7 linked regions of the Callithrix jacchus genome follow. The protein of the gene in region 3 interacts with the protein of the main gene of each other region in a pairwise test. Links are inferred from orthologs where the notes say so. Each region holds a gene or a part of one and is shown on either strand. Other genes may lie near its edges.

Evidence for each region.
Region 1: the proteins of BEND7 (region 3) and EAF2 interact in binary tests that used the Homo sapiens proteins (3 or more experiments, as listed by UniProt). The two-hybrid records come from large-scale screens. The link is inferred for Callithrix jacchus from reciprocal best matches to the Homo sapiens genes BEND7 and EAF2.
Region 2: the proteins of BEND7 (region 3) and PPP1R37 interact in binary tests that used the Homo sapiens proteins (3 or more experiments, as listed by UniProt). The two-hybrid records come from large-scale screens. The link is inferred for Callithrix jacchus from reciprocal best matches to the Homo sapiens genes BEND7 and PPP1R37.
Region 4: the proteins of BEND7 (region 3) and SMARCA2 interact in binary tests that used the Homo sapiens proteins (3 or more experiments, as listed by UniProt). The two-hybrid records come from large-scale screens. The link is inferred for Callithrix jacchus from reciprocal best matches to the Homo sapiens genes BEND7 and SMARCA2.
Region 5: the proteins of BEND7 (region 3) and NKAPD1 interact in binary tests that used the Homo sapiens proteins (3 or more experiments, as listed by UniProt). The two-hybrid records come from large-scale screens. The link is inferred for Callithrix jacchus from reciprocal best matches to the Homo sapiens genes BEND7 and NKAPD1.
Region 6: the proteins of BEND7 (region 3) and EAF1 interact in binary tests that used the Homo sapiens proteins (3 or more experiments, as listed by UniProt). The two-hybrid records come from large-scale screens. The link is inferred for Callithrix jacchus from reciprocal best matches to the Homo sapiens genes BEND7 and EAF1.
Region 7: the proteins of BEND7 (region 3) and NIF3L1 interact in binary tests that used the Homo sapiens proteins (3 or more experiments, as listed by UniProt). The two-hybrid records come from large-scale screens. The link is inferred for Callithrix jacchus from reciprocal best matches to the Homo sapiens genes BEND7 and NIF3L1.

What each region holds. Positions count from the first base shown.
Region 1 is NC_133516.1:81,051,658-81,055,157, forward strand, and holds part of EAF2 (ELL-associated factor 2), read right to left. Parts: intron 2,371-3,500; coding exon 2,234-2,370; intron 39-2,233; coding exon 1-38. UniProt on the Homo sapiens protein: Acts as a transcriptional transactivator of TCEA1 elongation activity. Acts as a transcriptional transactivator of ELL and ELL2 elongation activities. Potent inducer of apoptosis in prostatic and non-prostatic cell lines.
Region 2 is NC_133523.1:39,285,965-39,289,966, reverse strand, and holds the start of PPP1R37 (protein phosphatase 1 regulatory subunit 37), read right to left. Parts: upstream 2,801-4,002; 5' UTR 2,648-2,800; coding exon 2,446-2,647; intron 1-2,445. UniProt on the Homo sapiens protein: Inhibits phosphatase activity of protein phosphatase 1 (PP1) complexes.
Region 3 is NC_133508.1:14,517,168-14,521,459, reverse strand, and holds the start of BEND7 (BEN domain-containing protein 7), read left to right. Parts: upstream 1-1,492; 5' UTR 1,493-1,565; coding exon 1,566-1,626; exon of another isoform or gene 1,627-1,808; intron 1,809-1,912; exon of another isoform or gene 1,913-2,077; coding exon of another isoform or gene 2,078-2,099; intron 2,100-3,902; coding exon 3,903-3,986; intron 3,987-4,292.
Region 4 is NC_133502.1:108,514,011-108,517,510, reverse strand, and holds part of SMARCA2 (SWI/SNF-related matrix-associated actin-dependent regulator of chromatin subfamily A member 2), read right to left. Parts: intron 422-3,500; coding exon 1-421. UniProt on the Homo sapiens protein: ATPase involved in transcriptional activation and repression of select genes by chromatin remodeling (alteration of DNA-nucleosome topology).
Region 5 is NC_133511.1:11,787,919-11,790,825, reverse strand, and holds the end of NKAPD1 (uncharacterized protein NKAPD1), read right to left. Parts: coding exon 2,629-2,907; 3' UTR 501-2,628; downstream 1-500. Other genes in the region: TIMM8B (mitochondrial import inner membrane translocase subunit Tim8 B), read left to right, coding at 215-382.
Region 6 is NC_133518.1:54,229,290-54,233,456, reverse strand, and holds the start of EAF1 (ELL-associated factor 1), read right to left. Parts: upstream 2,801-4,167; 5' UTR 2,478-2,800; coding exon 2,105-2,477; intron 1-2,104. Other genes in the region: tRNA N(3)-cytidine methyltransferase METTL6, read left to right, coding at 3,463-3,687. UniProt on the Homo sapiens protein: Acts as a transcriptional transactivator of ELL and ELL2 elongation activities.
Region 7 is NC_133507.1:122,013,311-122,016,516, forward strand, and holds the end of NIF3L1 (NIF3-like protein 1), read left to right. Parts: intron 1-2,273; coding exon 2,274-2,458; 3' UTR 2,459-2,706; downstream 2,707-3,206. UniProt on the Homo sapiens protein: May function as a transcriptional corepressor through its interaction with COPS2, negatively regulating the expression of genes involved in neuronal differentiation.

The sequences.
Region 1 (3,500 bases), on a different chromosome or scaffold from region 3:
GTTCTTTGCGATACTGAATTTTACTGCTTCCTTCAACTCTGCAATTAAGAATATGAAATATTAAAACAGGTATGACAGCAATGTAACAAAAATTTCAACTTACAAAGTTACTAAAATCAACCACTTATTCTTTTCCTAAACATCTTTAGAATAATATCCAAAATTAAAACATTAATTTAGTTCATCATTTAACAAGTATTTGTCAGGTTCTGTTTCTGTGATACACATGTCCATTGAGGGATACAAATGAGAACAAAAACAAAACCCGTGCCAGGCTTGGTGGCTCATGCCTGTAATCCCAGCATGTTGGAAGGCTGAAGTAGGAGGATTACTTGACCCAAGGAATTCAAGACCAGCCTGGTCAATACAGTGAGACCCTGTCAATACAAAAAATAAAGTAAAATAAAAATATTGGCTGGGCATAATGATGCATTCCTGTAATCCCAGCTACTTAGGAGGCTGTGGGAGGATCATTTGAGCCCAGCAGTTTGAAGCTGTAATAAGCTATAATTACACCACTGTACTCCAGCCTGGGTGACAGAGTGAGACCTGTCTCAAAAAACAAAAACAAAAATCCAGGCTGGTACAGTGGCTCACGCCTGTAATCCCAGCACTTTGGGAGGCCGAGAAAGGAGAATGGCCTGAGGTCAGGAGTTCATGACCAGCCTGGGCAATATAGCAAGACCCTATCTCTATTTAAAAATAAATAAAACAACAACTAAAGAATAAAGCCATTGCTTAAATTGAACAGATAAGGCATTCACAAATGACTAAAATAAAAGGAAAAACACAAGTGTATAACAGGTACAATATATTCCCTAAGTTCTAAGATTATTATTTCTGTTAAAACTAAATCACTTCTACATTTTCCATTCATAACTTAAGATAGACATAATAAAGGAGATTCATATACATTTCTCTCAACATCTTTAAGAAGAGTATATAACAAAAGTATGCTTGATTTTTGCCTCTCCCATTTCCAGTCACCAAATCCTATCAGTTCTTCCTACAAACAATCTTCAGACCCTCATTTTTTCTTCATTCCTGCTCTCAAAACTCCTGGTTTATACGTTTTTCTGATTCCTACATTGTTGTCATTTATTCAGTTTCTCTACTGAATTAACGTTTTAAAACAAACTGTAAACATGCCAATCCCTGGTTAAAAAGACTTTAATATGTAACCACTACCAGCAAGATAATGTCCTAATTTCTTAGTTAATATTGATGGCATTAACCTCAACCAACAAAGTTACAACCTTACCTCTAGCCCAATATCAACATCGCCCCCTACTTTCTAAAACATGTACACAGGTACAGAGATAAACCTCTGCTCTGTTCAAATAGGTCTTACTGGCCCTGAATAAGTCAGATATATTTCTGCCTTCAAACTTGGCTTACATCGTCTTCTCCTTTCTACTCAATTAAGCTGGAATTTCACAAACCTTCTTCTAGTATGAATCACAGCAGGGCATGAGTGGTAAAGGTGAGGAGATATTAAAAAATAGAGTTTCCCAGGATCCTTCCCTGACTTAAGGTTAGATTTGGGAATTAATTTTTAACAAGCACCCAAGGTAATTCTTACGATCCCAACCTCCTCTTAAGGTACATCAAAAATGTCTCCCTGAATGTTCCAATCTACCATTACTTCTCCTTTTTCTTAATTCCTAGAGCAACTTTTGTCTATACTATTTGCATGGCTTTTAGAGCAAATATCATTATATTACATGGCAAGTAATGTGTTACCTATTTCCAAAAAGGATTTGAGATGAGTATATTCTCCTATTGACTTTTTAAATGGAATAGTCTGTTTATCTGATTAAAATGCAGAAGTTTTGAGGTGTTTGCATAGCAAACTTTCCTTTTTCTAGTACCTTACACATTATAGGTATTTGATAAATATTTATTAATGAAGATGAAATTATTTTAGAGAATGTATAATGGCTCTTTTCAATCCAGTTATATGAAAGTATCTACAACAGAATAAAAAGTATAACTATACCTATAGAAAGCATTTAGAAGCAAAACAAGCTTTTATATATCACAGGATGATGTGGTAAAAAGCTTTTGGCTTAGAATCTCCACCAAATTTAAACTTAGAAAAAGATTAAAACGTTTTTGTAGCACACAGAAATAACCCCCTTGTATAATAATGTTACTTAATACAGTCAATTTTTCTTAACATTTCCTTAGAAGTTTATGTTTATAATATAATTTATTTCATTAAACCACATACCTTGTTTTTTTTACAGTGATGTTGCTGCTGAGTTTTTCTAGTCGACATTCTCCAGTATCATGGTTAATAATCAAAATGCATTCTTTTAAGTAAGGTTTTTTTGAACCTTTGAAAACAGTTACTGGTGGAGTTGAACCCTGTTTAAAAAGTTAATTATTATTACTGAAAATTTACCATAGGAATTCAGTTGGGAGGGCCTTTGAAATCTTGATACTGTGTTTCTCCTTCTATGTTATACTTCAAGTCACCTATAAACGACCTAAATTTACTACCCTGGATCCAAAAAGAGTGTAGTAAAAAATACAGCTGAAGATAGGCTGAAATCTCAAAGGTGCTATCATTGAGGAAAGGGAAGAGAGGAGGTACTCACCTTGGGCCAGTGAAGATTTGTTTCACTGGCCTATAATGAGCAATTGAGATTCAATTTGAATATAACTAAACCAATGTATTTTATAAGGAAATAGAGCCTTGAATCATATTTTCTATGCCTCTTCTTTTTTTCTTTCTTTCTTTTTTTTTTTTTGAGACAGTCTCACTCCATTGCCCAGTCTGGAGTACAGTGTCACAATCTGAGCTCACTGCAACCTCCACCACCCGGGTTCAAGTGATTCTCCTGCCTCAGCCTCCAGAGTAGCTGGGACCACCATGCCCAGATAAAATTTTGTATTTTTAGAAGAGATGGGGTTTTACAATGTTGGTCAGGCTGGTCTCAAACTCTTGACCTCAAGTGATCACCCACCTCAGTCTCCCAAAGTGTTGTGATTACAGGTGTGAGCTACCGCATCCGCCCTCCTCTTCTTCCTTCTTATTGCTTTGTAAGTTTAATTTTTTTAAATCTGGCATTTTCTTAATGTAGCACCTCCCTATGCAGATTAAGCAACACCTCTTACACTGAACCCACTAATTAATTTTAGCATAATTAAAAGTGAGATAAGCAGACATTATGTGCTTAATGAGGTAATATGAAAGTACACAGCATCATCCATAAAATACTCTTGCCAAAAACCACACAAAAGCCCCAAAGAATTTAATTCTTATCAAACCCCAAAGAATATATAGTCCAGCCTGCCCTTAGAAATATAACTACCAGTTTACAGAAAACAGGAGGAATAGAGGAACAAGTTAAATATATCCAGATGGAAGTAATTTGAAGTCCAGAATGTAGATATATTCTCTAAGACAGATAAAACAGTTTTTCCAGCAAACCAATGGCATGAAAAAGGGAAGAGAGCCAAGTGCAAATATTGGAGTACATAAGTGGAGGATG
Region 2 (4,002 bases), on a different chromosome or scaffold from region 3:
ATCCAGCCCTCTCCTAAATCCCATGGTGAGAGTATTACCACCTACTTTACAGATGGGAAAACTGAGGCTCAGGAGCTAGGTAACCAGTCTGAGGTCTCGAAGGCTCTGACCTGGAGCCTCTGCTCTTGAACCACCCTGTTCTGACTCTCCAGGTCTTTCCCCTTCCTGCTCTGAACTGGATACCATGCTATAGCCAGGGGCCATTCTGACTGTGCCCTGGTCCCAAACTAACCACCTCTCCCTGGGCCGTAGAGCCCAAGGACTTGGCTGGCTCCCAGTGCCAAAAGTCTCTTTTTTTTTTCTTGTTTTTGGACAGGATCTCTGTCACCCAGGCTGGAATTCAGTGGCGCAATCATAGCTCACTGCACCATCAACCTCTTGAACTCAAGTCATCCTCCCTCTTCAGCCTCCCAAGTAGCTGGGACTACAAGCATATGCACCACACCTGGCTAATTTTTCTATTTTTTTTAGAGATGGCATTTCACCTTGTTGCTCAAGCTGGTCTTGAACTCCTGGGCATGGGTGATCTGCCCACGCTGGCCTGCCAAAGTGCTGGGGTAACAGGCATGAACCATGGCACCCAGCCCAAAAGTCTTAATTTAACCACTGCCAGCCAGATCACCTGAGGTCAGGAGTTTGAGACTGGCCTAGCCAACACGGTGAAACCCTGTCTCTACTAAAAATACAAACACTTTTAGCCAGGTGCGGTGGCAGGCGCTCGCAATCCTAGATACTCAGGAGGCTGAGGCAGGAGAATTGCTGGAACTCAGGAGGCGGAGGTTGCAGTGAGCCGAGATCATGCCACTGCACTCCAGCCTGGGCGACAGAGGGAGATTCCATCTAAAACAATAATAAGAAGAAGTAACCAAACTCATTCATGATGGACTCCCTGTGTGTTCAGTTTCCAGTTACCACGTTTCCCACCCTCACATCAAAGCCACCACTTCCTCCACTGTCCACAGACCGGCAAAAGTTTCTCCCCTTACCCTGGGCCAGGAGATCAGCTTCTAGAGAACCACAGCCAGTCCAATCCCTCACTTCATGGGCTCCACCCTAGCAGGATTGACAGACTTCTCCAGCACGAAATGAACTCAACACTGCCCTGCATCTCCCAAGCAACTTCCACCTTCCCAGCCCTATGGCTCCAATACACTCCTTTCAGCTCCAACACTGACCTGACCCTCTTCAGTGGGCTTGCCCCCTCTCCCAACACCTCAAGTGGTCAAACTTCTTCAGTTCTCTCACCTGCTAATAGCCAGCAACTCTAGCTCCTGACTTGATAACATCCTCTCATTCTTTTTTTTTCTTTGAGGCAGAGTTTTGCTCTTGTCACCCAGGCTGGAGTGCAATGTTGTGATAGCTCACGGCAACCTCTGCCTCCCAGGTTTAAGCCATTCTCCCTGCCTCAGCCTCCCAAGTAGCTGGGATTACAGGGCACACCATCATGCCCCAGGCGATTTTTATATTTTGAGTAGAGACAGGGTTTCCCCACGTTGGCCAGGCTGCTTTTGAACTCCTGACCTCAAGTGATCAACCTGCCTCGGCCTCCCAAAGTGCTAGGATTATGGGAATGAGCCAATGCATCCAGTATTGGCTCATTCTTTCTCAGGAAGGAACAAGAAGACCCTTCCACAGTCATGCCCCAAACATCCTCTGCTCCTGAACGACTGACAGCCTTCCTTCTGCCGTTGGCTTTTCTTAACACCACACTGCAGCTGGAGGCAGTGGTTCACGCCTGTAATCCCAACATTCTGGGAGGCCAAGGCGGGAGGCTCGCTTGAATCCAGAAGTTCAAGACCAGCCTGGGCAACATAATGAGATATCATCACAATAAAAAGAAAAAACAACACTGCCTCTGACTCCCTTACCTAACCACAAATTGACCACCAGCCCTGCTCCTCTTCTGGGAGCTTACCAAGTTCTCCACAGTCACAGTTCAGGTTTATATTCTTCCTCTTTCCAGCCAAGAAAGTGACCAACACGATCACTCCCTGCCCCGAGGCTTGCAGACCAGCAACTTAACCTCTTTTTAGCCTCAGAGACCCAGCAAACTCTTACAACTGCCCTTTCAGGGCCAGTGTTGACCTGCTCCTCCTCCCTTTACTGCTCTCGCTCTCCTTTTCTGGTAGAACTACGAACGCAAAGGCTGCCACCCTCCCCATCTGACAAACCACCAAACTTTATTTAATGCTCATCGTTTTAAACCCTAAAACGATCACCTCCTTTGTCTCGGGTGGGTGGGGTGCGGCAGAAACCAGATACTTTTCACCTTCCCAACTCCACGGCCACCTTCTAACAGCCTCCGACTCTAAACTGACGACTGTCCCCTTAATTAGCCATTAGGTGCAATCTATTGAACGCCACCTCTGAACGGGGCTCTGCACCGATCCCTCCCGACCCCCGGGTCCCCCTCGAGCCCGCCCCCGCTTCTCCCGCAGTAGCTACCATGTCTCCAGGGGTCTTTGGGCTCCACTGCACCAGACACGATATCCTCGTCGGACGGGAACGTGACGCGCTTGGCTGCAGCCTTGAGGCGCCCATCCGCGGGGGGCGAGGCAGGGCTGGGAGACCCGGCCTCAACGGGGGCCTCTTCAACGTCGTCGTCTGCGCCCGGCCCGGGCGGAGCCTCCTGCGGCGGGATCTCCATAGCCGCCGCCGGCTCCTCCTCACGGGGGCCCCGGGGACATGCCCCGGGCCCCGGACTTGTCTCTCCCGGCCCGCCCGCCGTCCCGGGGCATGGGCTCCGCCACTGCTTCAGGCGCCGCCTCCGTCCGCTCTCCTCGTCGTCGTAGTCGTCGCCGCCGGGAGCCCAAGCGCGCCTCCGCCGAGCCCCGCGCGCGCCTGCCCGTTCGCAGTCACACTTTCGCTCGAGGCTGGCGAGCCCGTCGCTTACTAAAAGACGCAGAAAACCGATTTAAGTGACTTGCAGGTCGAGTTGTCCCGCAGGTGACATGAAGAGGGAAACAAAAGGCAGAAAGGGCCACGGAAAAAAAAAACGTGAGCAGCGAATCTGCAGAGCCGGAACTGCAGACCATGGGGGCGGGGCGAAGTAGACGCCGTCTCCAAGAGCAGCGCGCAAGCGCGAAGCTAAGCCCACGCCTCCCCGCCTGAGTCCAGATAACGAATATCAGCTCCGCACATTCGTCAAGAGCCCAGGGAATGGAGTGGATAGAAATGAAAATATCTGATGGTTCGCGGCGGCGGCTCATGCCTATAATCCCAGCACTTTGGGAGGCTGAGGCAGGAAGATCGCTTGAGTCCTAGAGTTCGAGACCAGCCTGGGCAACATAGCGAGGCCCCGTCTACAAAAATATTTTAAAATTTGCAGGGTCTGGTGTCGGGCGCCTGTAGTTCCAGCTGCTTAGGAGGTGGGAGAATCGCTTGAGCCCAGGAGGTTGAGGCTGCACGGAGCTAGGATCCCGCCCCTGCACTCCAGCCTGGGAGACTGAGCAAGACCCGGGAAAAGGCTCGCTCAACAAAAGGAAATAAATATAAACATGGAGGTTAGACTGATGAAGAGTGGGTAACGGCATGAAGAAGTCGAAACAAAAGGCAGATAGGAACTGCATTCAATATACAAGTACAGTTGATGGATGCTGACAGATAGGGATCCTCTGGAGACAAAGCCTCGGCCCCTTGGCTAGTCACCGCAGTTAACATCAACAGCTCTCTGTACCTAGGTAGAGTTGCATAAAATACAACTTAAATTACAATGCTAAAATAAATAGGAGCCCATGAGCAGTATCATGGGCGATTTTTAAAAACTAAACCTAGGAGAAGGTAGATACTCCAAAGGCCAACCCAAATCCTGAGTGACAAGGCCGGTGGGTCACCGAGGCAAGAACGAACTAGGGCGAGCTCAAGCCACACCCTCCGGCTCAGGCCCAACGGTTGACATTCGCCGCCGCACTTTCGCCACGCTTTCCCTAGCGCACCCGGCAACCCGGGAGAGGCGGGGCTGAAACCATAAAAGGAAACTGGGGCGGAGCGAGCCGCGTCGTT
Region 3 (4,292 bases):
ATGTGTGTTTCTGCAAGCTGCCTCAATGTCCCCCTTCCTCAGCAGTCATCCTGCTCTGTGTCCCTGAAATAAGAGCGGCCCCTCAGCGGCCGCCTCATTTGGGTGGGACCCATGGTGACACTCCATTACATTTGTCAACCTCCCCTTTTTCCTCTCTTCTCTTTTGGGGCCCCCAGCCTTTGTCCCGTGCTGGAGAGTTGGCCCCCCGCCCAGACTCTTTATCCTCTTCCTGGTTGGGTTTGGCGGATACTTTCACGCATGTCCCATCACGTTCCTACCCTGCCATTCCCAGGTGGTGTCAAATTCTTTTCCGGGCCCACTCCAAAGATGTGAGGAAGAAATGGTGCCTGGGGTGCTCTCGCTGCACCCTGAGAGGCATATTACACAAAACGAATAAGCGCTTTGTGTTTAGGTCCATGATTTCGACTTATGACCTGGAGAGGCAGAGGGCCCTGCACCAGCCTTGACCATGGCCTCCTGAGAGTCCCCAGGGCCACCAGGCCCCCTCCGCCCTTCCACCCTCTCCAGGCCCCCCATTCCAAGTGCTCTCCTTCAATGTGCCTCGGCTCTTGCCACAGTCCGCCCAGCCTGGGTTAGGACACGGGCGCTCTCTCCACTGTACTCTTCTCCACAATATTCTCAAACCTCCTGTCCATGCAGAGAGAGCGCAGATGGGTAAGTTTTCCCCCCTAAAACTTGCCTAAAATCAGCGCGTCGGGCCCCGGGGCGCCCGGGATGCGAGGGCGGGGAGGTGGCTGCCGGGCGGTCCGCGCACCCACCGCGAGGTGCTCAGAGGAGCTCGGCCCAGCGGCGGCGGAGGGAGGCCGGCCAGCGGGGTCTGCGAGCGGAGGCCCGGGCGGCGGCGTCCCCGGGGGCAGGCAGGCCGGTCGGGCCCCGGCCGGGGCGCTGCGCCGCGGCCTCCGCGCCTCCTCGGGGCGCCGCACGACCAGGCCCGCGGCGGCGGCGGCCCCCGGGGATGGCGGCGGCCGGGCTCCGCCAGCAGGTGGCCCCGGGGTCCCGGCGGCGCCGCCCCCTCCGCCGGCGCCCCTCCTCCCGCGGGGGCGGTCAGCGCCCCGGCCGGCTCCGCACCCGCCGCCGCCCTCCCCGCAGCCCGCCCGCCCGCCCGCCGCGTCCCCGGGGCCGCCGCCGCCACCGCGTCCGCAGGCTGAGCCCAGGCGGGCCGGCCGCCCCGAGCCGCCCGCCCCCGCGCCCCCGCGCCCCCGCCGCCGCCGCCGCCGCCGCCGCCGCCGCGCCCCCGCCCGGCCCGCTCCCAACGGAAAGTTGGGCTGCGGCGGGCGGCGTCTGGAACCCGCGGGCCGGCATGAGCGGGGGCCGCGGGGGCGCCTAGGGCACTGGAGGCGGCGCCGCGCGGGGGCAACTTCACCCGGGAGCCCGCGCCGCCGGGCCCCGCGCCAGCAGCCCCGAGCGGGCTCGCGGTGGTTCCTCCCGTCCCGCGGCCTCCCCCCGCCGACTCCAGGCGCGGACCTTGGTCCCGGCGGCTTCGCGGCGGTGACACGAGCCCGCGCCGCCGCCGCCTCAGCCGCCGCCGCCGCCTTCCCCGCACCATGGAGTTCTCCGAGAGGAAAAGAAGCAGGAAATCCCAGAGCTTCAAACTGGTGAGCCGAGGTAAGCGGCCGCCCGGGCGGCGGGGGCAGGCTGCGGGCGCCGCGCCCTCGGCCGCCCGCGGGGGTCCACGCCGGTGGGCGCGCCCTCCCGGAGCCCCCGGTCCTCCCCGCTCGCCCGGTGCCTCCGCCGAGCTGGCGGGCAGGGCCGCGGCCGCACACGCCGGGCGGCGGGGAAAGTTGCGCGGGGGGAGGTGGGGTGTTATTTAACGTAAACAAGTCGGAGGGCAGCTCAGGAAATTAGCAAACAATGACACCGGGGGGCAGAGCCCTCCTCGGGGCGCCTCCGGGGCTGGGCCGGGGCGGCCGCGGACCTGCCTGGCCATCAGGCCGAGCGTGGACCCTCGGACCTGAGATTTGCTGTTTTTGTTTTCTGGGGTCTAACCCCTTCCCCCCGCCAAGAGGAGGAAAAAGGATGCCCGTTGTTGTTCTTTTTAAGAAGGAGAAAGAAGCTCATGCGGTGTCCAAGCCCAAGGTGTAATTATTGTCATCCAACATCTCTAGCTAGCTGATTTGGGTTGGAAAGGTGTTTTACACTATCACGTAGCAGTCAGATAAGTATCCTTAAAAAAAAAAAAAAAAAAAAAAAAAGAAAGGAAAGAAAAGACATCCAGCTAGTTCCTGATGAATTAACAGGTGTACACCACACTCTTGGGTTTTTATTTGGTCAGGGAGGGGAAAGTGGAATACAGTCTTGTGTTCGGTTACTTGTTAAGTGTCTTCATCTTCCTGATTTCACTTTTTTAAAAAATGTTAAGGTAAGAGCCATCGTGAAAATATGTCTCAAAATGCATTGTCATCTTTAATTAGGGGCAGATGACTTTTCTCATTGTAATGTCACCAGTCCTCATATTGAGTTTACACTCGCTCTGTTTAAATGTCGTCTTTGAATCAAGTTGAGGTCAAAGCCATAGAACCTGTCCACTTTTCCTCTGTCGTTTTCTCTAGCATGGCATCAGAGTAGAAACTCTTCAACAACTGCCAAAGTCACGTGTAAACTGATGAAAATTAGTGAAAAATTGTGGACAATTGCAAGTAATCGAATTTTTCAAACTGAGTTAAGCTAGCTAAGATGTGGATTTGGTTCGTGATGAAAATGGTTTGATTATAGGCATTTTGAAGATCTATTCTTATCTCTTTCCCCTAATTTAGTTTGGATACTGTTTAATGAAAGAGGCCTGAAATCGTTTCACTCATTCAAAATACTTGGCTCTTCCCACTTTCTGAGTAAATTTTTTTTTTTCCACATCCGTGTTGATTACTCAGTTACTTGGACTTTTAAAAGTCTCTGTCTGGGTGACTGCCCTGTTAGTGCTGCTATCTGATACATTCAGGAAGGTAGGCTGCTGCTTCTTGTTGACCGCAGAGAACTTAACTGCTTTATCTTAAAAGTGAGAGTAGTTTTGTTGACCTTGTCCTGTGAGGTCTAAGGCCAAAGGAAGGGGAGTAGGTATTAAGGAGGAAACTCTATTTTTATTTCTAGGTAACCCTACTTATCAAAAATGGAAGCCAAAGTGCAGTAGCCTCCATAGAGAAGCTTGTAAAGTGTTGTATTTTAAACTTTGACTGACATAGCAAGTTTTTCCTTTTTTCTTTCCTTCTTTTTTTTTTTTTTTTTTTTTTTTTGGCAAATTATGGGTCTGATTCTTCTCTCTCTGCAGGTGTGGTTTTAGAAAATAAAGTATTGCATATTAAATAAAGTACAGTAGCTTGAATGCGAAAGAGTCATTTGTGTGAAAGATGAAAATCTTGCTTTCTTATCCAAATTATGCTATACATTTGAAATAACGAAACATGTGTGCTTGCCTTTAAGCTGCTTAAAGGCTGAGGTTTGCTGGGTAAACTGAGAAAACTGCAGTGCTGTCTAACTTTAAAGCATACTGTTGATATACTGGTGAAAATGGGTTGTGAGGAGAAATTTGGAAACCTCCCCTGCTCTATGATTGGGCGAGATATTTCTTTTCCTTGTAAACATACTTGTCACCTCAAAGAAAAGAAGCCTAAAAATTGGCAGCTGTGGGCACAATTTACCGTGAAAATGATGTGATCATGCCAAGCCGTTTTCTCTAGTCAAAGTAATTTTCCAAGTTTTCGTACTCCAGAATAAGCACGTTTTAGGAATTATTATTGAGTACAAATTCTGTGATAATTGACTTCTCAAAAAGTTTATTTAAAAATTATAGATTATACATACTAAATAGAATGAGAGTCTAGACTTGACTGCTTATGCCTGTCTTGAAGTCATTAGGAGGCTAATTTTTGGTTGTTTTCTCATGCCAGATTATCACCATGAGGTATATAAGATCCCAGAATTCAGCAGCGATGTTAATGGGGAGGCCAAAGAGACACAACCCATTTTTTTAGGTAGGTTCCTGTGTCAATTAATTTCTCAGCAAAACATCGTGGCCATTTGCAATTAGGGGGAAAAAAGGAAATTGTTGAGGAACGGGAAATGTCTGCCGTGGCTTAATGTATGACATTCTTTTCAAGACCTTTTATTTTACAGATTGCCAATATATCCCTTATTAACATTGCTAAAAGTTGTAATTTCAGACATAAATGTTTATTAGTGTCTACACACAGTGCTAATTATCACTCACTCACAGAGCCAGATGCTGACTGTGCAGTTTTGTGGCTCTGCGCTCACCCCATTTACATTGCATATTCGCT
Region 4 (3,500 bases), on a different chromosome or scaffold from region 3:
TAGTTAACAAGGGCCGGCTGCTGTTGCTGCGTCTGTGGTTGTGGTGGCTGCTGCTGCTGCTGCTGCTGCTGCTGCTGTTGCTGCTGCTGTTGCTGTTGCTGTTGCTGCTGCTGCTGCTGCTGTTGTTGCTGCATGCCAGGCAACGTCCTTTTCCCCTGGACTGCAAGCTGCAGCGTTTCAGGGAGGGGCTGGCCTCGGGCCAGCATTTTGTAAGCTAAAATCTGAGCTCGAAGCTGATGCAGCTGGACGGGACTGAAAGGTGAGGGACCTCTGTTGGGTTGGCTCATGGCCTGTGAATCACCCGGGATGAGGGGCCCTGGCTGGCTTGGTGGCATCTGAGGTGGAGTTGGGCCACCTCCAGACATCGGGCTGGAGACGTGCTCTGGGGCTCCCAGCGGAGATGGGTGCGGCGACAGATAACCTAAAGTAAAAAAACACAAAAGGAAATCACAGGCTGCCCTGACAACCCCGAAAGAGAGATATCCCAGAGTACTCTAATAATTGTCTACAACACTGTCTGATAGAAATTAAAATAACATATAATTAATTATATCTATAATTTATTAAGTATATGTAGTTTAAAATTTTAGTATATTAATGTGCTTTATATATATGTAAAATTTAAAATTTTCTAGTAGCTACTTTAAAAGGTTAAAAAAACAGGTGAAGTTAATTTAAATAATATATTTTATTTAAACCAACATATCTAAAACATCATTTTAAAATGTAAAAATTGTTGGTAAGATAATCTACATTTTTTTATACTAAGTCTTTGAAATCCACGAAATATTTTGCACTTAAAGCACAATTCAAACTAATCACACTTCAAGTGATCAATAGCCACACGTGTCTTAGAAGGGAAACTATTAGTGGCTGTTGTTCACCTAAAAGAAAGGCACCAGGGGACAGCACTGTATGGTAAAAGTAGCTCCAACTGGGAGAACAAAACCTGATGGCGCCTGATATCTCTCAATGCGGAATAAAGAATGTCTTATGTGGAGAGCGAACACTTGGTTTATTATTATACATGTTACGAATAACTTGCAATTACTGAATGCCTACATGTTGTAGGCACTATGCAAGGAGTTGACTGCACTCAACTCTCACCGTTGGGTTCTTCCTAGAGGCAGAGCCTCATTTAAGGATTGATTACAGGTAATTACTGGGAAGATGCAGGGACACCAACAGGCATACAAAAAGGTAATATGAGGAAGGGAAAGCAGGCAATAAGGGGGATATCATCAAGCCAGCTGCTGTAGTAGGTGCCTCAAGATTAATTCAGTGCAGAAACTCTGGAATATATGGTAAATAACTTGCCTCCAAATTATTCCAGGAAAGGGGTAAAGAAGTTGGGGTATTTATCCTCCCACAATCAGCAGTCACTTGTTAAGTCACTAGTTATGACTAATGCTCTAGAGGTTATTATCATCCAGGGACTTTGCCATATGTGGGAAAGGTAGGTGTCAGTAGATGGAAGTAACCAAGATGGTGGTTTTGGGCACAGGAAATCAGGCTGGTGGGGTTATAGAAATCATGAGGAATCAAGAAGATATGGGTAGAACATACATTATTTCTTTAATCCTTAAAACAACCGTAAAAGATATATACTGTTACCACATTTTTTCAAATGAGAAAAATGAGGCTCAGAGAGTAAACCAGTTACCCAAAGTCACACAATTAACTTATGGCAGCTCCAAGATTTAAACCAAGGTCCAATTTCAATGCATGTGCCCTTTCCATGATCTAATATAAATTTGGTTATATGAAAATAAGTTAGGAACTTGAAAGTTTCAAAAAACCTTCTAGAGGCACTTATTACATAAAAGTGAGAGTAAACTGTTTGGTTTATAAGAGATCTAAATGGGAAATTTAAGAAATTTATTTTGGGGAAGAAAAGAATCAAAATGCACAAAAAACTTCAAGGGACTTATTTCAGGAGATGACCTGCCTAACTTGGCCATAGAATTCCTAGAAAAACATACAGCTGAGCATTGTTGGAGGGAGATCCAAGATGAAGGAGAGAACAAACTGGCCTACAGCAATCCAAAGGTGGCCTAGAGTTGAAACAAAGTGCCAATCAAGTCAAAGGTATCCCAGGACACAGCATTACATACATAGATGAAAAGTCTCTGCCCTTTTATAAATGTAATCATGTCACAGTTCTCACAAAGGTCATCGCGTGTTTACTAAATTCCTGCCACGTGCTTGAACCTATGACAAGTTGAACTGAAAGAGCTCTGTGCATCTGCAGAAATCACAGAGGTCTGAGAATATATAACCACCACCAACTGGGGATTCAGCATCATAATTCACGAGACCAAAGAAAATAAAAGATTCCATTACTTTTATCTCCAATTGTCATTTGAAGAGGGAGACAAATTTGGTGTGATCCCCTAAACCAAGAATGGGTTTTGCTCCATTAACTGGTGAGAAGTAGAACTCTATTCAGGGAAATCCTGCCCTAAAGGGAAATAGAAGAATTGCTCAATTTCATTCCACAAATCCCTGCTCCATGAGGAAGCACCAACACCATGCAGTGATGAGGGTTTGAGTTGGTTATATAAATTAACCAGGAAAATTCCCTTGAAAGCCTGCAAGACTAGCAGAAATTTAAATCCCAACATGTTGTTATCATAATAATGAACACTTAGAGAATTAACAGACACTTAACTTCAGCATTAACATTCTTCTTCTTTAATAAGGCTTACATTAACCCCTTAATTGCAATGCTAATACAAAATGGTAGCCTGTTCATTAGGACTTCTTTCTGGCCCTGAGACTACCACAGGTGGAAAATCTTTCCACCAAAGCTACTAACATTTTCACAGTAGTAGAGATACTACCAGAGGTTAAAATGAGTCATATGATTCCTGATTTTTGGTCTTTCCTATTTCCTAGGGTCATCCATTACAAGCTCACTCATAGCAAATCATAATACACCTAATACAATGAACCGAAATATTAGGCAATCTAGTATAAATTCAACTGTATAACACTATTTATTAAATCACCCTTTTAAAGTATGAACAAGGCGACATTATGAAGGTGAGACAGATTAAGCATAAGAATTCAAACCCTGAGAAAAAAGAACCTGGTCTGCATGGCTTTAGTGTCCAAAAAACTGGTTAAAAAAAAAAAGAGAGAACCTGGTCACTGGAAAGTCAATACCAAAAAAATTCTTACCTCAAATTTGATCAGAAGAAATTGGAAGTGAGAAGATTATTTCCCCGATTTTGCAGGAGACGTGAACAGAATCATTCTGCCACAGTATGGTATTAAAAATAGAGATTTTTATTTCTGCATGAATAGCATCCCATAAAACTTGAAGAAAAACAGAATCTAAGTGATACAACAAAATCACATATTTTGGTAATTATCTTTAGTTGAAAAAACGAGTTAAGAAATTGCCTGAAAGTGAATATACATTCGTCTGCAGGATGACAGTGTTGATGCAGATTCTGCTCTTGCAGAATCTTGTTTGATTTGCTCATTTGAAAGTA
Region 5 (2,907 bases), on a different chromosome or scaffold from region 3:
GGGGAATATAAAAGGTTATTAGAGAATGTAGAATCTGTAGGGATGAGGATCTGCATCAATATTGGTGACTACTTAGAAAATGAAGAAAGAGAAGAGCCCAAAGTGGCTCCGTGGTTCATTTAAAGAATAGTTTGTCAGACGTGAAAAAGTGGTAAGTTAAACAGAGTGAGGCCTATCTGCAGACCCAGTGGTTACTATTTTTCTTTCCTCTTAGGTGCATCATTTCATGGAACTATGTTGGGATAAGTGTGTGGAGAAGCCAGGGAATCGCCTAGATTCTCGAACTGAAAACTGTCTCTCCAGCTGTGTAGACCGCTTCATTGACACCACTCTTGCCATCACCAGTCGGTTTGCCCAGATTGTACAGAAAGGAGGGCAGTAGGCTATCCCCCAGGAGAATGACAGAAGCAAAGGACTTGTTATTAAGCAGACTGAAGGGCCAGTAGGGGAAGGTTGGCTGTTATCAAGTCTGCTGGTGCTAAAAAGTAAAAGATGAAATGTTCAAAGAGTGAAATTTATTTATTTGGAATTCAGAAATTCCAGGCTATATCACATCAGTTATTCAATAATGTGAATTCTCCAACTATTCTTTTAATCCCATTTTAGAATATAGAGATCTCTGATTGGCAGGAATACTAGAAATAAATGCTCCATGGCCAGCAGTGCAAATGGGGGATTGTAGGTTTTGAAAAGCCACCCTAGGCCATATTAAGGGGGTTGGAAGAAGCATCAAAGCCTAAGGCATAGAAAATTTGGGGTTGAGAAAGATGAAGAACAAAAAACAGCTTTATTGCTTATACATGACCAAGAAAAGATTAACATGGCAAAAAAAAAAAATGCAAGATGTGTATTCCTTGCTACCATGGGAGGAAGGGAAGGTCAGGAACCAAATAGAGCCAATTTCCTGGAGATGACCTGTTCTATTGGCCCATCTTCCTGAATCCGTGCTTAAAATCAGTACTTTCAGAGCACAGAAACAATGCATGCTAAAAAATATATGGCCAAAGCTCCTTCTAACAAAGCTTTAACTTGCTCCAGGAACAAAATAATTGTTTTAGGTTAAGAGGTAGTAATTATAGACTATTCCCCTCCCTTTAGGCCCCCACTAATCCCAAAAATAAAAATACACACCATGGAACATTGACAATTGAGTACCAAAGTATTAAAATTTCAAATAAATATCCCAAAAGGTAGCACCTGCTCATAGTTAAGGGATAGGGCACCTCTGTCCAACCATGTATGTTAAGACCAAGCACTTTATTAGAAATCTGTCCCATAAAGAGGACAAATTTAGTAGTTAGAACTAAAAATACCACCTCATGGAATGTCATCATAGTTGTATCTACTGCTGGTGTCTTATACTGTCATGCTACCATGAATTAACTCTGTATTACACACCAGGAAATTGTAAGGCCAGGAAGGTGAATTTACCTGCTCTGGGCCTCCTCATAACCAATTAGTGGCAGAACCAAAATCAAAAGTCTGAGTTTTCAAGCTTTTTACTCGGCCCATTAAGTGACAATCAGGAAAAAATAACATGTCACTTGATCTTTCTTCCCATAGTGAAAAAATGCACTTGTGTTCTGCGAGCCTTCTTTCAGTGACATTTTGGCTTCTTAAGAATTAACATACTAAGTATCACAGTATAGCAAAGGGAAATAACGTGGTCTCTGCTTGGTGCTTTAATCCAAAGGCAGACTGGGAAGAAGTGGGTATGTCCCTGAGAAGCCTGTTTCATTTTGGAAATAATTCAACTTAGTTTCAGGGAAAACCTAAAGTTCATTAATAAGATAATGTTTAAATGGCAGTTGCTGCCCTGAATCCAGAGTACCATTAGACAACATGACTATTTCCTATTTCTTCCCCATTTGGTAAAGGATTTATCTGTGACAACTGAAGAAATAATTTGAACACAAGTCCATTTAGGCAAATATACAGCAATGGAGCTAGAAAACCATTTACTATCCAATTACAATGTTTAGGGGTATACTAAGTACAGCTGTAGGCCCCGTCCAGCAGGGAAATTTGAGGAAACTGTAGTCTCTTCTAGTAAGTTGTCTACGGATGTTACCATGAAAGGAAAACGTTTGTTCTTAGGCCCATTTCCTGATTAAGTAAACTGGACCATACCTGTAGGGTCAAAATACAGAAGGATCGAAGCACCAAGGCTAAAGACAAGTCAGTTGTGATACCTGCTATATAAACAAAGAGCAATATAGTGTTGCCTTGTCATACCATCCTACACAGCATTAGTTCCAATCCACCTCTTGATCCCAGCCCTTGACTTCCCCAAATTCAATATTCCAATTGGTGTACCCAGGTTACCACTGGATCCAGCTTTCTGGGTCCTTTAATTTGCTGTATATGTGTGCTATACTAAATGTGATTAACTGCAAAAAATAATCTCTTCAAGAAACCTTCATAACAAAATACCAGATGCCCTTTTAACAAGAAAAGGGGATCAAGCTTAACGCCGGACTAGAAGACAAGAAGTCTGTCGGAACATACAGATGGCACAAGACAGCTCTGACCTCTGGCCCCCGTGCTGAACAAGAGTCACCTGCAAAACCACAAGGAGTAAGAACTGTAAATATCCACAGTCATGTGGAAAACAAAAATGTTTCCCATTTAGTCATCCTCTGAGCTCTCAGCAGACCTTTCATCTGTAGCCACTTTCCAATTTGTGCGTTTGTTTGTCCTCTCTTGTATTTCATTGTTGGCTACAGGGCTATGGACTTTTTTCTCTCTCTTTTTCCTTTTGGTTCTTTTAGTGTCTCTTTCCTCACTTTCCTCAGAACTGCTGGATGCTGAATCATCTGAATGGGAAGTGTTACTTTCTGCCTCTAAGAATAAAGCAGGTTTCTTGAGAGACTTTTTCCTGGATTTTTTCTTGCGCTTATGCGGTTG
Region 6 (4,167 bases), on a different chromosome or scaffold from region 3:
TAGAAAATAAAACTAATTTAGAATTCTTAAACATCTATTTCTTTCTTTTTTTTTTTCTGGAGACAAAGTCTCACAGTCTCACTCTGTCACCCAGGCTGGAGTGCAATGTCATGGTCTCAGCTCATTGCAACTTCTGCTTCCCGGGTTCAAGACATTCTTCTGCCTCAGCTTCCCGAATAGCTGGGACTACAGATGCATGCTGCCGCGCCCGGCTAATTTTTTGTATTTTTTAGTAGAGACGGGGTTTCACTATGTTGCCCAGACTGGTATCAAATTCCTGAACTCAGGCAATCCGCCCACGTTGGCCTCCCAAAATGCTAGGATTACAGGAATGAGCCACTGCGTTCCGCCTTAAGAACCTGTTTCATTATGGAAAACCTCAGATACACAAAAGTAGAGAGAATGGTACAATGAGCCCTGGTGTACCATTATCCAGTTTCAATTATTACCAACTCAGGGACAATCTTGTTTCATCTACACCTCCACATACTTTTCCTCTGACCCTCTTTGAGTTATTCTAGGGGGGAAAAGAAATTTACAGGTTATTTTATTAAACAAAGACATTCCCTTCTCCCAAGGGAGAGATGAAAATTAATGCCTCATCATCCATAATAAGTTGCTTTTTTAGGGTTGTGAGGATCAAAAGTAATAGCATATGAAAAAGAATAGTGATGAGGTCTCACCATGCTGCCCAGCCTGGTCTCAAACTCCTGGGCTCAAGCTATCTGCCTGCCTCGGCCTCCCAAAGTACTGGGATTATAGTGTCAGCCACCACTCTTGGCCAGTTCCACAGCTTTAACCAAGACACTTCTGTAGATGTTCGGAGCAGACAACTGTATCTCCAAAATTTATCCTACTCATGTTTCTAAATTGCAGTTAAGAGTACAACACGAATAGCCATCTTAATTCACATTCACACCTGCCTCAAACTGCAGGCCAGGTGCACACATGAACTATATGATAAATTCCACCTTGCCCTTCACCAGAAGAAAACATCAACTTAGTAAACTGTTCAGGAAATGATGTTCTTATCTCATTCCCAATCTCCTCTCTCTGAAAGTGCTGGATCTGTCAGTAGGAAGCATAGTAATGGCATGGCAAGTGACCACACAAAGATGGAATTTCATTATCTAAGACGCCCTCTTCACGTGTGTTGAGTCACATCTATTAGGTCCTCTGACAAAAACAAGTCCTAACAACAGCGTTAGTGCCACGGAAACCAGAAGTTCATGAATCACGGAGGGATGCTCTGTCAGCCAATTCCTAACTGCCAAATCTTCACCCAGGACATAGGGTGGAAGTGCACTCGCTCAACAGAGTCTATAATCTGTAGAAAAAGGTCCGGCGTAATGACTATTTCGGCATTCCTTGCGCCTGCTCTCTTCTGCTTCCAAACATAGACCAATCTTTAACCTACCCCAGGCTCACGAACTCTAATTTGACCAAGGAACTTGGTCTGGAGGAAAAGCCAGGGTGGTAAAGGTAACCTCAAAAGAGATCCAAGTCAAAGGAAGCACAGAAAGGAGATGGAAAAAGACTCTGATGAGGACAGAGAGGTTGCCAATTCTTTGGCCGTAGAGCGGACAAAGCACAGTATCTGGGTGTCCAGGACCAGGTCGGAGGAGGAAAACAGGGAAGAGAATGGATTCGGAGGGAGTGGATGAGGCTCACAGCAAACAAGAACTGTCTTTTAAATGTGGGGAACCCTGATGGGAGCATCGGAAAGGAGGAAGAGGGGTGTCGAGGGGGAAGAAGTGGACCTGGATAAGAAAGGTTTGCCTGGTGAAGGAGGGGAAGGTTTGCCTTAGGGGCGAGGTGGGGGTCGGGGAGGGATGGAAATGGAAAGAGGCCAATGACCTTTGGAACTAGTGTTTGAGACTATGAGGTAGAAGAATAGAAGGGGGTGACGAAGATTTGGGAGAAATAATCTGGGTAAAAGAAGGAACAAATCGAAGTACGAAAGGATTTGGGGTTCGAGAGAAGGTAACTGACGCTGGCAGGGGGTTCCCTGGAATCTGAAGGGCTGAGGGAAGAAAGGAAGGAGTAGGGGTTGATATGTGGCGCCTGGAGCGGCCGAAGGGAACTGTGGGGAGCGCTGACTTACAACGAATCGTGTGGAAGGAGGCCCGCGGCCGCTTCTCGAAGCTCTCCCCAAGCCGCAGGCAATGTTCCTCGCGGTCCAGCAGCGGGTTCGCGGTCCCGTTCATGGTTCCGCACCGACCTCGCACCCGGATCGGCGCTCTCCTGGCACAGCCGCGACCCGAGCTTCCGGCGTTGGCGTCTGGAAGGACGCTGCTCCTGGGAGGACACCGCTCTGAAGCGCAAGGAAAGCCGAGCCGGCGCCCACAGGGGTTCGCAAGCAAGCCTTCTTCTCTGTCTCGGGGTGGAGGAAGAACCTGAGGCAGTAAGGCCGCGGGACTTCCGACGTTGGGTAGGAACTTCCGGGTTCCCAGCGGAAGTGGCGGGGGCGGTGCCATGACAAAAGAACTCCTCCCGGAGAATCCCACTGCGAGGTCCTCAGGATTGGCTCAGAGTTGTGCCGCGACGCCTCCCATATTCTGCCTCCGAAACTTGAAGCTGGGTGTGGGGTGAGTGCTCCTGGCCCTACCCCTACAGTTGAATTTAGGAACTGATGACAGTAACCCCTGAGCGTGGCTGACTAGATACGCGGGTCGGCTAGTCATTAAGGGCGCCCCTCCTCAGGGTCTAGGGCCCCACGTGGCCTAGTTTATCCTGAGTGTCCTGAGGTGGATCCGCGGGACCTCAGCCACGCGTCACTGGGTCTCTTCCTCCTGTTCGCGCGGTGATAGCGGTGCGAGAGCCTCAGTCCCTGGAAAGTGACGCCCCCTCTGGTCCGCACGACAGCCTCTTGTGAGTGCGATCAGGAACGGAGCCCCCCCGCCAGGCTTCGCTTCATTTCCCCCGAAAAAACGGAGCTCCGACCCTTGGGAAACGGGGAACTCACTTGTATCTGGCAATTGACCACCCGCTTCCAGCTAAGGCCATTGTGGTTTTAAAGTTACCCCTTTCATGGGCACCAAAAATTGAGGAGTATTTTCTCCACAAGGTTTCTCAGTCAGTTCGTGAGAGGGCCTTTTTCTAAACTAAATCGATTTATTGTAACAGTTGTCTCATCTGGTTTGAATAAAAGTATGGTGCATAAGATAGTCCTGGCCACTGAATGAATGTATCTTCTCTGAAGTATGGACTGTGTCTTGATCTTCTTTGTGACCTCACCTATAGCGGGCAGGATCTTTTTTTGTACAGTCGGCATCTCATAAATATTTGTGAATTGAACCTGCCGTCTTGCACTGTTCTAGAACCACTAACCAGAATCTCATTCTTTTTTCTGCGAAGCAACTCACCTGAGGAAATGCATCTGACTCATTAGCATGGATTTATATTGTTTGGGGATGGAGAATCTTCAGCTGCCTTAAGTTTCTGTTACCGTCAGTTTCTGAGATGGCTTCTTTGCAAAGGAAAGGGCTGCAGGCAAGGATTCTCAGCTCTGAAGAAGAGGAGAAACTGAAAAGAGACCAAACTTTGGTGTCTGATTTTAAACAGCAAAAATTGGAACAAGAGGCTCAGAAAAACTGGGATCTTTTTTACAAAAGAAATAGCACTAATTTCTTCAAAGATAGACACTGGACCACCAGAGAGTTTAAGGAGCTAAGATCATGTAGAGAGGTAAGCTAATATTACACCTTATCTGAGCTGTTTTTCATTTAAAATGTGAAAAGGTGTGCTTTATTGCAATCTTAGGGAGAGTGTGAAGTAGAAAATTTAAGAAACCTATCCAAAAGCTTTGCATTTTGGGAGAAAAATATACTTTTTGGTCTTAACACCAAAGTTTTCTCATTTTTTGGTTTGGTTAACACATAGGAGAGAGAACTTTAGAGGGTGTTTTCTGTTTCTTTAAGCTGATCTGATAGTTGTAAACATTAAATATTAAATTCAAGAGCTAGATATGGTGGCTGTCGCCCAGCTACTCCAGAGGCTCTGGCAGGCAACTTGTGCCTGTGTGAATTAGCCAAGCCTGGGCAGCATAGTGAGACCCTGTGTTCTAAATTTTAAAAAATTTAAACATTAGAATTTAAAAAGAACAAAAATATAAATCCATACTGAGTGACTTCAGTGACAAAGTCAAAATAATGATAATAATAATAA
Region 7 (3,206 bases), on a different chromosome or scaffold from region 3:
ACAGTTATCAAATGTGGGAATTTAATACTATTAAAACAGTTGATATACAGTCCATATTCACATTTTCCCAATTGATAAGAATTTATAGCATTTCTTTTTCTGATCCATATCCAGTCCATGATCTCTCATTGCATTTAGTTGTTATCTCTCTTTAGTCACTTTCAATATGAAATAGTTCCTCACCTTTGTCTTCAATAGCATTGACATTTTTAAAGAGTATTGGCTACTTAGGCTGAGCGCAGTCGCTTATGCCTGTTATGCCAACATATTGGGAGGCCGAGGTGGGCGGATCACCTGAGGTCAGGAGTTCGACATCAGCCTGGCTAATGTGGTGAAACCCCATCTCTACTAAAAATACAAAAATTAGCTGGGTGTGGTGGTGCACACCTGTAATTCTGGCTGTCTGGGAGGCAGAGGCAGGAGAATTGCTTGAACCCAGAAGGTGGAGGTTGAAGTGAGCCAGGATTACACCACTGCATTCCAGCCTGGGCAACAGAGTGAGACTCTGTCTCAAGGAAAAGAAAAAAAAAAGAGTATAGGCTCTTTGTTTTGTGCTTCTCTCTCAATTTGGGGTATCTGATTATTTTCTCATAAATACTGTTTTAAAAACTAGTTTTTTTAAAAATGATAAAGTATAATGATATGTGCATAAGATAAATTCAAACAGTTCCAAAATGTTAAAATGTCTTTCCTATCTGGCTGTGGGGAGAAATAGAAAATATATTATCTGGCTAGCATTAGCTGTCTCTGGTCTGTGAGGCATCGCTTTTGAGTATAACTTCAGGGATGTGCAGCCCTACCTAAAGGACTTCTGAACTTCATCACCCTTCCTCTGAGCCTGAGGCAGTGTTCTCATTGTATTAGGTCGTTAAGGGTTAATACCCTGCAAGACCAGCAGATGGGGATCCTGCTCCTTGCAAATGTAAATTCTCTTTTGTCTTCATTCTCCATTTGCTGCTGCTTTTCCAAGCTGCCATCCTGGGCCAAGCTTTTCTTTCCTTTGGCTTCAGCTAGTATTTCAGGGTCTTCACTGATTTCCCCCTTTTTATGCCTTATCCAGCCAGTGAGTTTGTCACAGTACAGAGAGCCAGATTTATCTTTCCTAGTTGGAAACAAGGCTTCCAACTGGGCCATCTTAGTGTCTTTTTCTTGCTTTTTACTTTTACTATATATATATTTTTTTGAGACAGTCTTGCTTTGTCACCAGGCAAAACCCTCTCTCTACTAAAAATACAAAAATTAGCTGGGTGTGGTGGTGGGTGCCTATAATCCCAGCTACTCGAGAAGCTGAGGCAGGAGAATCACTTGAACCCAGGAGGCAAAGGTTGCAGTGAGCCGAGATTGTGCTACTGCACTCCAGCCTGGGCGACAGAGCAAAACTTTGTCTAAATAAATATATAAATAAATTAAAAATTCAGAATATTTGCGTTTTCCCCAAATCTTTTCACAACAGATGAGATTCCCTCCAGAGTTTCTAGGGATTTTGCTTAGTCAAAGAAAAATACTTTGTATTTAATTTGGAAATAATCTTAAATTCATTTCATTCTTATATATTAGACTAAGTTGATGATAGAAATATTGGTGCTTACAAAGCATAAGAGTCTGCTGGGCAGTATACACAGAATTTCCTTCAGAGGTATTTATTACGTACATAAGAGGCAAATTTTCTGAAGGCCTCATTTTACTTAGTAGTGGTCATTCATTTTATTGTGGAAACACTTTGAATAGGTGTTTGCAGATCTGGTTCTGGCGAGATATGTTGTATTGGATAATTGCCTTGGGGTCTGCCAAGGAAAAAGAAGTTGCAATTCTCAATGGGATGGCTTTTATTTTTATTTTATTATTTTTTCGAGACACAGTCTTGCTCTGTCACCGCTGAAGTGTAGTGATGTGATCTTGGCTCACTGCAACCTCCAGTCCCTGGACTGAAGGGATTCTCCTGCCTCAGCCTCCTGAGTAGCTGGGATTACAGTCATGCGCCACCACGCCCAGCTAATTTTTGTGTTTTTAAGATGGAGTTTCACCATGTTAACCAGGCTTATCTGGAACTCCTTAGCTCAGGTGATCCACCTGCCTAGGTCTCCCAAAGTGCTGGGATTATAGGTGTGAGCCACTGCACCCAGACTTTTCTCTCTTTTTAAGTTGGAGGACATAAAAGAAAACTGTACATTCACCTTATATAGAATACAAACTTGGTATTTCTGTTTTTGTGGTTCTTCATTCCACAGATTCCATATCTAGCATTTGAGAATTTGTTCTTTCCTTTTTGGTAGGTGAGATGTCCCATCATGATATTTTGGATGCTGCTTCCCAAGGAATAAATGTCATCCTCTGTGAACATAGCAACACTGAACGAGGCTTTCTTTCTGACCTTCGAGATATGCTGGGCTCTCACTTGGAGAATAAGATAAATATTATCCTATCAGAGACTGACAGGGACCCTCTTCAGGTGGTATAAATGCAGAAACCTCAGGATAACACATTCTACAAATCAGTTGGATGCCAACTTGAATTAGTAAAATGAGTCAGTGGGACTGGTGTGCCTCCAGAGAGTGTCTTAGACAGTATCATCATTTTCGGTTTGTTAATCTGATTCACCAAATGTTCTATCACTCATGAGATAAAAACTGTAATGTAACTACCATATTAAATAACAGGTATTCATTATAAACTCTAGGAAAGATTGAATAAAATCTGTTTACTTAACATTCTCTAGAAAGAGCTCAAGTAATTTTCTCCTTAGTTTAATTGTAGATGGGATGGATCAGTTGGGTTTCTCTGTCCTTGGTTACTTTAACATTATGCTTTGGGTATCAACACTTCTTTCTAGGTAGTAGCCTCTTTGCTGTGATAAGGTCTATTTGTCCCTGTTCCTAGTTCCATCTACATTCCAGTCTCACCTAAATTTCAGAATCAGAATGAGATTGATTTATCAGGATGTTTTAAAACTATACACAATCATTATTCATATTACTATTACTTTATTGCTTTTTAGATGACTCACCTGTAATTTTTTTTTCTTCCATAGTCCTTTGTTCCAGATTTCTGCTCTCACTTTCCTCTCCTGGGGCAATGAACTTGGCTGCAGGCAGAGGGCAGGGCCAGGGAGTGAAATTCCAGAGCAGAAAGAACAAAGTCAGGTATCTCAAAATATCATCCTGCTGCATTTAGTTTGGCACCTTTATCCAGACTGGATGCCCTGTTTT